3 linked regions of the Solanum lycopersicum genome follow. Each later gene encodes a partner of the first gene's protein in a complex. Links are inferred from orthologs where the notes say so. Each region holds a gene or a part of one and is shown on either strand. Other genes may lie near its edges.

The links.
Region 2: condensin-1 complex subunit CAP-D2 (region 1) and condensin complex subunit 2 share a complex: the UniProt entries of both Arabidopsis thaliana proteins name them as parts of the condensin complex. The link is inferred for Solanum lycopersicum from reciprocal best matches to the Arabidopsis thaliana genes AT3G57060 and EMB2795.
Region 3: condensin-1 complex subunit CAP-D2 (region 1) and structural maintenance of chromosomes protein 4 share a complex: the UniProt entries of both Arabidopsis thaliana proteins name them as parts of the condensin complex. The link is inferred for Solanum lycopersicum from reciprocal best matches to the Arabidopsis thaliana genes AT3G57060 and SMC3.

What each region holds. Positions count from the first base shown.
Region 1 is NC_090809.1:60,386,476-60,390,707, reverse strand, and holds the start of condensin-1 complex subunit CAP-D2, read left to right. Parts: upstream 1-1,432; 5' UTR 1,433-1,616; coding exon 1,617-1,752; intron 1,753-1,979; coding exon 1,980-2,338; intron 2,339-2,946; coding exon 2,947-3,107; intron 3,108-3,194; coding exon 3,195-4,232. UniProt on the Arabidopsis thaliana protein: Essential protein. Regulatory subunit of the condensin complex, a complex required for conversion of interphase chromatin into mitotic-like condense chromosomes.
Region 2 is NC_090806.1:62,344,342-62,347,993, reverse strand, and holds the end of condensin complex subunit 2, read right to left. Parts: coding exon 3,499-3,652; intron 3,416-3,498; coding exon 3,385-3,415; intron 2,922-3,384; coding exon 2,782-2,921; intron 2,146-2,781; coding exon 2,044-2,145; intron 967-2,043; coding exon 766-966; 3' UTR 501-765; downstream 1-500. UniProt on the Arabidopsis thaliana protein: Regulatory subunit of the condensin complex, a complex required for conversion of interphase chromatin into mitotic-like condense chromosomes.
Region 3 is NC_090801.1:66,532,125-66,535,624, reverse strand, and holds part of structural maintenance of chromosomes protein 4, read right to left. Parts: coding exon 3,366-3,500; intron 2,710-3,365; coding exon 2,579-2,709; intron 2,282-2,578; coding exon 2,129-2,281; intron 2,042-2,128; coding exon 1,852-2,041; intron 1,705-1,851; coding exon 1,571-1,704; intron 1,078-1,570; coding exon 919-1,077; intron 531-918; coding exon 222-530; intron 105-221; coding exon 1-104. UniProt on the Arabidopsis thaliana protein: Central component of the condensin complex, a complex required for conversion of interphase chromatin into mitotic-like condense chromosomes.

The sequences.
Region 1 (4,232 bases):
ATAGTAGTATAAAAATCAAGAAATGTTGACTGTTCCTTAAAAACTACTCCTTCTATAGTATAATCAACGTAACTATTTGTATCGTCCCATTTTTCAGAATGCATAACCAAAATAGCTAATAAGCCCATTATCTGTACATTTATGAAAAGAATATTTATATATAAATAATTCAATGAGATCATATATACAATTAATACAACAATTTTTATACAATCAAATTATAGAAATTTTATACTGTTGTTTTTTTTAATATACAAACACTACATCTACAATAGTGTATACTTCTTCCAAAAATAAATCGTATGACATAGAATTTTTATACTGTTATTCTCTTTAATATACAAAGACTACATCTACAATAGTACATAATTCTATCAAAAATAAAACACATGATTTATGAATATATACAACTATGAACACTGATTAAATATTGTCGCTTTCAAAATATACAAATATCGCGAATAACATATACAATTACATGAACAGTATATAATTGTATGTTGCAAAATTTCAGCTTAACAAAATCATATTTTGATTTTTTTTTTAAAAACAAACGATCGAAAACAATTCACAAATTCTAAAACCAATTTAACATTGTATAGTTATTGCAATAATAAACAAGAAATTTCATCGAATAAAAACTTATCTGTATTTGATTGCAAAAATTGCTGAACTTCAGTTTCACAAAGAGCAAAAAAATAATTATAATTTTTTTGTTTCAATGGCTGTATGATTTTTTTTTTTTGAATTTGAACGTTTAGCTTAAAAAAAGGACGTTTCCCTAAAATTGTGGCATTATCTTGATTTATTGTTACCATATTTAATGCTTCAGTTACAAACAACTTTTTAAAATAGAATTGTATAAATAATAATAAAAAAATTATATACAAAATTAAAGACACCTTTAATAACTAAACTATACTCATATAATGTAATTAGGTAAACTATACCCATATAATGTTATTTAATCAAATACATTTACCATATATGAAATTTTTTTCCTTTTTTTAATAGTATAAATTAGGATGCGATGTAATTAAATGATGATATTTAATTAAATATTTTGAATTTTTAAGTCTTAAAAATATAACATTTACCATTAGAATACCCCTAAAGAAAATAGCCTTTTGTGTTTAGAAAATAATAGAAATTAGGATGAATAAAAATTAATAATAATGTTATCCAATCTTAACCATATGTCTCGAATTTTAAGCTTAAGGAATATAATATTTTATGTTAAAAGTGACGCTTAAAAAATATCCAAATAAAAAGCTAAGAAATATAAAAAATAAGATGAGTGACTTTTTTTTTTTTGATTTTCCATCTATTATTCGATAATTATATTGAAATTCTATTAAATTAAATTTACATAAATATTTCAAATTTATGTAAAGTTTCGTAACCTGATTAGAACTCGAACCCGAAACATAAATGATATTGTATTCCCGCTCCCCTACGGTTCTTTTTTCATTTCAAATTTTCTCATCTCATTCCCAGAACCTCTTCTTCTTCCTTCTGCTTAAGCTTTTGTGAATTCAAAAATCTAACCGATCTAGGAAGTTTACACCATTATTTTCTGTAGAAATTCTTCAAATCTTTGACCCCATTTCTCTAAAATGGCTCCACCTTTCATATTTCCCCCAAATTTATACTCTCTGGAAGAAGAAGACTCCGATAGCAACTGTCTATCAGTTCAAAATCCCACTTCACTGAGCAATCTCCGTCCTTCTGAATTGGAAGAATTTGTCAAAGGTTTGTTCTTTTCTGTTCTTGGGTTTCAGCTTAAAGGTCAATTTTCGATAATTTATAATTTTTTTTTGAACTTACCTATTGCGTGCTCTTCAATTTTTCACAATGGGTTCTTCTTCTTTTGTCGAATTCGGCAACTGGGTTCTCATTCCTTTTCGATTTCGGCAACTGGGTTCTTATTTTTTTTCGATTTTTTCTACTTGGTTCTCTAATTTTTTTAATTTAAACAGGCGTCTCTTTTGACCTATCGGACAAAGAGCTATTCTGTGTGGAGGAGCATGATGTGTTTGACCGTGTGTATTCACTGGTGAAGGAGTTTTCTTGTCTTACTCCAGGGTGTAAGCTCAATTTGGTGGAGTCTCTTAGGTCCAACCTCAGTGTTTTGCTCCCCACTGTGGATTCCCTCTTGAGGGTATCTCAGCAGAAGGATGGAAATGCTGATGAAGAGAAGAATGACAGTGAGGAGGATGAGTGTTCGCTTGCTGATAGAGTTGCATCATATCGAAATGCTTTCAAAATATACACTTTCTTCCTCATTCACATTGTGCTCATTGAGGAGTCTACATCTAGTTCTAACAACAGTACAAAAGTAAATTTCTTTCTTTATCTGATAGTATGTGTGTGTGATGCATGTAGTATACTCACAAGGAGTGCAATTTTATGAAATGCTTATAATGAATTTACTGTTTTTAGTCAATTTCAACTGCATGTATAAATGTGTATTCTTGCGGGCAAGGGATATTGTAATCCTGTTGATACTAAAAATGATTAAAGGTTGTTACTCCGTCCGTTTCAATTTGTTTGTCTTAGTTTGACCTGACTCCAAGTTTCAGTATGTAAAGAATACTTCTGAATTTTGTAGTCTTAAAGATGTATAATGTACCAAAATGCTCTTTAATTTTGTGGTCTCAAACATGCAACACATGAGGTTGAAATCAAAGAATTGCCAAATTAGGAAAAAGTCATTATTTTCGAAACAACCTAAAAAGGAAGGTAAGTGAAACAGATTGAAACAAAGGGAGTACTAAAATGATCCCAGGCGGAGTTTCAAGGGATACTAGAGATTTTGAGTTTAGTTGATTTTGTGATGTCCTTGTGTGTATTTATTTTCTTTATAGCTCTTCTTGAAAGCATATGTTCCTTTTTGTTTCATACTGAAATTTCAAGGGCAATTGATAGTATGTTGATTGGCTCTAGGTGGTCGCTAGTAGTCGAAAGAAGCAACTTGTTAGTGCATGGAATTGGGAGCCACAACGGGCAAGGATACTGAATTCAGTTGCAAATTCATTAGAGATCAACCTCTCGATGCTGTTTGGATCATCGGATCCCGATGAAAATTACTTGTCCTTCATTGTGAAGTAAGGGCTTTTCTTTCTTTTTGTTGAGCTGATTATCTTTAAGTGGATCAAAGTAGTAACTCAATCTGATGATGTGGATTGCTGCAGGAATGCTTTTTCGCTGTTTGAGAATGCGGCAGTCTTAAAAGATTCAGACACAAAAGACGCCTTGACTCGCATAATCGGGACATGTGCTACCAAATACCACTATGCTGCACAATCATGTGCTTCAATTTTGCACCTGGTTCACAAATTAGATTTTGCAGTTTCCCATTTGGCTGATGCAGTTGCTTGGGCTGAAAAGAAGTATGCTGATGGTAGCATGGCTTCTTCTCTTATCAGAGAGATAGGAAGGACTGCCCCGAAAGATTATGTGAAGGATACAGTAGGGGCTGAAAATGTTGGGCGCTTTCTTGTAGAGCTCGCTGATAGAATGCCTAAGTTGATCTCAACTAATATTGGCTTATTAATCCCACATTTTGGAGGTGAATCTTATAAGATGAGAAATGCTCTTGTTGGGGTGTTGGGTAAGTTGGTAATGAAGGCTTTCGACGACGGTGAAGGTGAAGTGAGTTCTAAATCGATTCGTCTCCGAACCAAGCAGGCCATGTTGGAAATTTTATTGGAACGTTGTAGGGATGTGTCAGCCTATACAAGGAGTCGAGTGCTTCAGGTCTGGGCTGAATTATGTGAAGAACATTCAGTTTCAATTGGCATGTGGAATGAGGTTGCAGAAGTAGCGGCTGGGAGGTTAGAGGATAAGAGTGCAATTGTCAGAAAATCTGCACTGAATTTACTTATTATGATGTTGCAGCACAATCCCTTTGGACCCCAGCTTCGAGCAGCATCTTTTGAAGCAACCTTAGAACAATACAAGAAAAAGTTAGATGACCTAGGACCGAAGGCTCAGCCAACAAGTGTTTTGGATGGACTGTCTTCCTGTGATGAAATTAGCAATGAAGATGGGGAGGTCCTCAATGTGGGTGAAGAGATGAACAAGGAACAGTCTGACAGTCTGACAGACAGCTGCTTGCCTCATGAGGAAGATATGATAGGCCAGACAGACGATTCTGTGCCAGATTTTGGGAATTTGGAGCAAACAAGGACCTTGGTTGCATCGCTGGAGGCAGGCTTGAGATTCTCCAA
Region 2 (3,652 bases), on another chromosome or scaffold:
AACTTTTTCTATGTGTTCTCAAACTTCTATAGTTGTTAAATTAGTCATACAAAATATGTGTTTCCCTCTATTTATACACATCAGTCTCAATTTTAAGTAATTTACTTATGTAATAAACATTCCTTCAAAGACCGGATAGATCTAAGTCATGGTAAGTAATCTCTTGCAAAACCTTTTTATAAGGCAGGTTGCAATACGTCCCATAGTTCTCTATCTAAGATAGATAGTCCAAGTAGGTTTCTAAGGATAAGAATTAAGGAATGTCGGTGTCAGTTCAAATGTGATAATATATACAGAAAACGTCTAACAAAAATATGTTCAACTGTTCAGTTCAAAAAAACCCATAATTTAAGTGTCAATGGCTTCATCAACCGCTTTGTAATACTTGCTCTATTTGGGCCTATAAAAAATCATATCAAAAGCTCAACAGAAGTTCAACTAAATTTTGCTATATCCACATTGAAAAGATTCAGTTATTTTATTTAGCGTACAGAAAGGCATAAGCACAAATACATGGCTGCGTCAATCTAATTAGCAAAATAAATGTAGTAAGTACAATATCAGCAAAAGCCTGAAAATTGACAACAATTCAAAAGCCAACTGTTGACAATATCTGATAATTTACACGAATTAACTAACCTATAAAGCACTACAGAAGAAAGGATCCACCACAAGCAGCATATGCTTGAATGGCCAATCTACAAGTGATATACATTACAGTAAGAAATCCAAAAGCTGAAAGAATAAATGACTTAGGCCACAGCATTAGGAAGACCGTTCGTGAGTTTCAAGTTGTATACTGAGATCATCCAAGCCGTGACAACCTTGTATCCGTAATCCATGTTCATTAGCAAGATGCAGTAAGCAAATGAAGCATAAATGAGGAGATATTGCATCGACGGATGTTGATGCTTTGCATTCGTTTGGAAAAGCAGCCAAGATGTGCTTGAAAGATACACCTTCTTCCTGCACATTACCATGTGAATCATTCAGGATATAGATGTCTGACAAACATGCTAAAAGGTAAATGGATAAAGCCCCGTCAATTAGAATGTTATGCTGATCAATGATAAGAGAACAACCCTGGAGGAACTGCTTAACAAAGGGAGTCTTGAACCGCATTAATTAAATAAAATTGGCTAAAGAAATTGTCATAAAGTCAGCCAATTTAGTAGTTCATTTATAATCTCATTAATGACTATGCAGTTATATTCATTTGCTTTACAGCTTCCCACCCTTTTGAGGGATTTAAGTTGAATACTGGAGTAAATCAAGTATGTAAATTTTCTAGATATTTCATCAATCAAATTCAGACCTTAACAGACTATCGTACAATTGCTCTGGCACACCCTTTTATTGTTTAAATGATAAACAAGTCTAACTAATATCGGATGTTTAGCTTCCAATTGATTGCTTCCATATTAGATGTAATCAATTAGTTCAAAACTGCATATCCAACTAAGATAAATGAATATCCACTTGTCAACTATATTATACTACAGAATGGAGAAAAAAAATGGATCACTTGCTCATCTCCTTAGAACTATTTTCACTTGCTACTATTTAAGAAGAGCCAATATCAAACGTTTGACCTTAACAATCCCTGGTAAACACTAAGTAGGTGTTTGGACATGATCTGATTGAGATATAAGAAAAGTTGTATTTGAAGTTGAAGAAGGGGTATTTGGAAGTTAGAAATTGTGATTGGACATGAAAACAAGTTTAAGTTTCATATGTACAAGTTGAATGAAAACATGAAAAACTCAAACTTCAAATTTGAAGTTAAATAGCCGGTCAATTTGATAAACAAACAGTTGCTTGAAATAATCTACAAATACCATTTCAAATTTCCGAACCAAAATCTATGGCAAAATAATAATAATACTCTCCTTATCAGTTGATGTGGCACTATCACTCGGCATGGTGATGAGAACGAATACTAAATTTGTTGTATATAAGAGGATATTCTACATGGGAAAAATGCATAAATTCACTAGCAAGAAGTAGAACACACTACCAGTGAAGTAAGAAGTTTGAACTCACCTCAACTGATGTTTGATTCAATTGGTCCCAAAGTGTTTCCTTAAGTGCTTGAACATCTACTTGTTTGGATGTTTTATCATACTGAACTTCAATCTTGTTTACCTGTTAATTCAGACAAGGTCACTAGATGTTTCAGTTTGCTTCAAAAGAAGCCCTCCATCTAGCAAATTCTACAGAGGAACAACATCCCCTAGTAACTGTGCAACGAAAGATTTCTGTCGGAATAAGTTTCCATTTAGCAAGCAACATGAACATTTTGACATTTTTCCTCCCACATATTAAGTGACAGATAACACAATTTGACGTTTCTTCTCTTACGTTTGCCTAAAGAATAAAGGAACTAATGCTTATTAATGCTGCAAATGTCCTTGATGAAGTATATTTTCTTTTCAACATAAACAATGACTTATTAACGATAGTACCAAAGAGCCACAAGAAAAAAGAAAGAAAGAAACAGGTACAGCAAAACCTTAATAGAACAGCTAAGGTGCAAATTTCTTAAAAGCAAAAATCAGTGACAGGGTTTGAAGTGCCTGGTACTCATAACATGATATTTGGTAGTAACTGGTTAAGTACAAGTTGATAAATGTTTAAGTCATAGTTTTGCAGGAGATCTCACTCAATTGTATATATCATACTTGATCAATTGTTGGCCTAAGCGTCGAAAGTTACACTAGGAGGAATCGAGATTGCAGAACCACAAACATATATAGTCAAGATTTGCAAACAGGAACAAACCTGGCGGGGTTGAGAGACAAGTGTACTTGATTCCTCCACATCACTAAATGTGTTGCCATCATCAAAAGCCTCAGGAAATCCACCATCATCATCCCAAGATGGCATGGCTCCAAAATCTTCACTTTGTTGACCAGCTTCATCTACACAAAGAACCATGCAACTCAAGTCACATAGTAACAATTTTTTCATCTGCCACAATACGTGACATTCCGATTTTTTATGAAAACTGGTAAATATACAGCAACAGGAGTACGTTAATTCTATAGGCAGTAGAAGACACAACCTATGAAATAGTCAAGAAGCCAATAGAGAGCATTCATATCTAGGAAAGTAGGATTTACAAAAGACATCGCAAGAACTCTTCTAAATTCAACTCAAAAGCAGATGAAATCATTTAAAGCACTTAATTGTCAAAAGCCACAGTAGTGTCACTGCTCTAGTAGGTAAGATGACCTAGCAAAAATGCATTTGAATTCAAATTCAACATTTGCAGTTAAAAATCAACTGCAAAAACAGAATCTATCACTCATTAATGTTATACATATCCATAATTATGTCCATGTACAAAGTTTTAACAGTTGATGGCCATAAAAATTATCTCACCTGGGATTTGCTTTCCTCTCCTTCCAAGGCACTAAGGCAAGAGAATACAAGCAATCAGAATGTATTTTTAAGGTAGTCAGCAAATAACAAACTCATCAAAGTGACGAGACTTACCGTGACATTGGGTCGGAGAAACAGCTTCACAAGATTCTCAGGTTGATAATGACAATCTTCTGGAAGTAATCTGTTACACGGTGTTCTATTTGCTGGAAGGAGTAGTAACTTGGGATTCTTTGGAGGAGCAAAGACATGCAATAGATCAGTGTCC
Region 3 (3,500 bases), on another chromosome or scaffold:
AGTTCCTTCAATCTATTAACTTCATCCTTACTGGGTTCTGATGCACTTCTCAAGGAATCCAGTTGCTTTTTTAGATCATCGCATTGGGACTTCAGGCTATCAATCTGTACAGAAACCAAAAAAGCATTTAGCTCTCATGGTGCAAGACAAGCGTTAAAAGAGATTAAAAATAGTCATAGAAAAGAATTGCAAATAACATCAATAAAACATGAATGTCAGACCTCTTTTTTGCATTTGGCTAATTCCATCTCGCCAAGAGAAAGAGCCTTCTCTGAGGCCTGGTAACACTTCACAGCATCAGTAATTCTTTGGCGTACATTATCCAAGTTTCCGGCGATCTGTGAAAGTTCATTTTCAGCAGCAGATATAGCCTCTGGTGAAACGCTAGCAGCACGGATAGATGTGCCCATTTTACCACCACGAGGTTTACCCCCTCCACCACTCATTGTTCCAGATTTTTCAAAAAGAGCACCTTCAAGTGTTACAACACGGCGAAACTCTCTGTCCCCACCGTAGGCAATACGTGATGCCTGCATAATTAACAGTATCGCAAATTATTGATCTAGCAATTCTGCCTAATAATGAAAATACATATAATGCATGTTGTCTGAGTCTTGACGTACAATTATGGCGATCAGCAAACCTTACAAAAATAGTATTTGAAATCTCCATGTTATTGTATGTCCTAAAATAGATAACTGGAGAGCCCTAGCTAAAATCACATTTCAAGAGGTCCAAGTGTTAAATTTCTCAATCTTTTATTTGGGCGACAGAAAATAATCACTGCATTTGCTAATCAGTCAAAATGTTGACTAGAGATAATTTTACCAAGCAAGTCAAAAAATGGTATGACAAGCCAAATAGTCAAAACAGTTGTATTTCATCAGGGAAGAATTAAAAGAATTATGTAAACATCACCTGATCAATATCTTCTGCAACAACTGTATTTCCTAATGCAGCAAAAAATGCTAGTTTCATCCTCTCATCTCGAACTTTCACCAAATCAAAAAGGCGTGGGACTCCTTCTGGCGTTCTGACTTTCTCTCTGATTTTAGGCAAATAATGAGCTTGTTTTTCCTGCGAAAAATATGTATAAATCAAATATACATTTGAAATAACACCAATGATTTTACTTTTCAGGGACTCCTTACCAATGAGTATTTTGGAAGTGTAATTTTTAATGGTAATTACACATTTTCTAGTTCAAACCAAATACATTTGACCTCCAAAATCAATGTGAGATTTATCTACTATTTGAATGCAATACTTTATTGCACTTGCTTAATTTCATCTTTTTTGTAGCCAACTAGCATTGGGAAAATACTACCAACTACCAAGGTACTGTGATCCTCACAGAAGGTCTTTATGATCCAGCTTCTTATTTAACTTTCACTGCAGCAATCATGTTCTTTTTTCTTTTTTTCTTTTTTTCTTTAGATAAACTGCAGCAATGTTCTTTCACATGTCCAACAGAGAGTGAGATTCCAATCCAATTATAGACCACTTGGTTAGCTTCTCCAAAGGGCACGGTGTATAGTTTAAGAAACTACAAAAATTAAAGAAGACATACCAAAATCATGAAAGTTGCTACGCCGAGGGTTTTGCTTCGAAGAAGCTCCACGCATGCTTGTGCTGCTGCTGTAGTTTCTACAACAATATAATCAAGCCCAGAACATGCGGTTGATATGGCAACATCATACTTTGCTGTGGGAAAATAAAATATTCAGTAATTTATGCTCAAATTATGTGAGCTATAGTTCAGCTCTTAATTTCACTACCTCTGCCAACAAATGAAACAAAAATAAAGCAAAGGACGTGAACTAGTTTTAAATGTGACATAAATATTCTCACCATCAATCGCACCCAAGTCACCCATTCGACCATATATGCCATCTATCACATTTGCCTCCTTAGCATGCATTATTGCTTTTAGGACAGATCCCTGGCTCTTTTCAGATTCCATAACAGATGAAAGCTCAGTAAGCTTTTGTCTGGCCGCTTGTTCAAGAGGTATCAATCTTTCTTGTTCTTGAAGGCATTCCTACAACCAGTCAAGTACATCACAAGCCCAGAACAAATTCAACAGCTGGTTAAAATGACAAATGGTAGAGATACTCAAAACACATACCTTTTCAACAGCTCGAGCCTCAAGTGCTTTAACCTTGTTCTTCTCAAGCTCATTGGCGATGTTTTTTGAGCTTGCCGATTTTATCTCTACTCGTTTCTGTATTTCCACAATCTGCTCTTGTGCTTCAATATAGGCAGCACGACCAGCCTCATGCTGAAAGCATTAATGACTAAACCCATGAGTGAAATATTAAATAGCTAGCTTACGGACCAACTAAGCAATTTAAAAATGTGTATTATTCTGAAAAACTGCTAGTACAACTTCACATGAGGTAATGCGCTTGGCATTTTAAGCTTCCATGTTGGAATAAGACAAGTCATGACTAAAATGCTTCATGCAGCTTCAGTTAAAAAGTGCAGATCTCATAGGGTAAGTGAATCATATTATAAGGAAAAGAGCTGTCGGAGTAAGAGTAGAGAGGAGATCTCAAATGTTATAATCAGCAAATACCTTTTCACTCAAAAGTTTACTTTCAGTTGATGCCACTTCAAGCTTTCCCTTGTGCTCAATTAAGTGCTTTTCCCAAGGCTCTAATTCAGACCGAACAGCAGAAAGCTCACTGCGGAAAGCCTCGGTTTCAACTATTTGGAAACAATTGTACAAGAGTGAGAGAAATATATTTGATATGTTAGAGCTAGACCAATAAATAAGGCTGCTATGAGCAATAAACATCAATGGTTAGATGCAAAAGTGAACTTATGTAATAACTTAAATTGTTAGTCATCTAACTCTTACCCAAAAGCACCAATAAGAACAGCCATTAATTATCAAACCAATGGAATATTATCTAAAGAAGTTAATAGAAAAGAGACCTTTAAAATGAGAAACAAGCCTGGAGCTTAAAGTCAGAAAGGCTTCTGAGTGTGATGCCACTTCATATGTACTGATCGAGAGTTATGAGAAAATATCTTTATAACCGATACAGCAATATCAATTATTTTGAAAAAGGAATAGTAATTGATGTTGCTGATATACTTACTTCTGATCGTAAGTTCATAAAAAGTATTTATTCTGGTCAGTGCGTATGGCCTTATGCAGAGATAAGTGTGAGATCTAGAGATCCCTAACTGGACAGAATAATGTAGAAACAAGCATAAAAATATAGCCGACCCCAACTAATTGGAATTGAGGTGTAATTGAAAGAAACTAATTGTAATAATTGCATAATGGCAATAGGACAAATTCAGAGTATTTGACATGCAAACCACCAAACAAGCACTTAATTCAAGTACTTTACCTTTAGAATTCTCCTTTATTTCATCTAAAATTTTCTCCTCATCCACCAAAAGTTGTTGCAAGCCTGGAATATCTTTCTCCAATTTTGGAATAAGATTTGCAGACTCCTCACACTCATTAGTTGTGTCAGAAATTT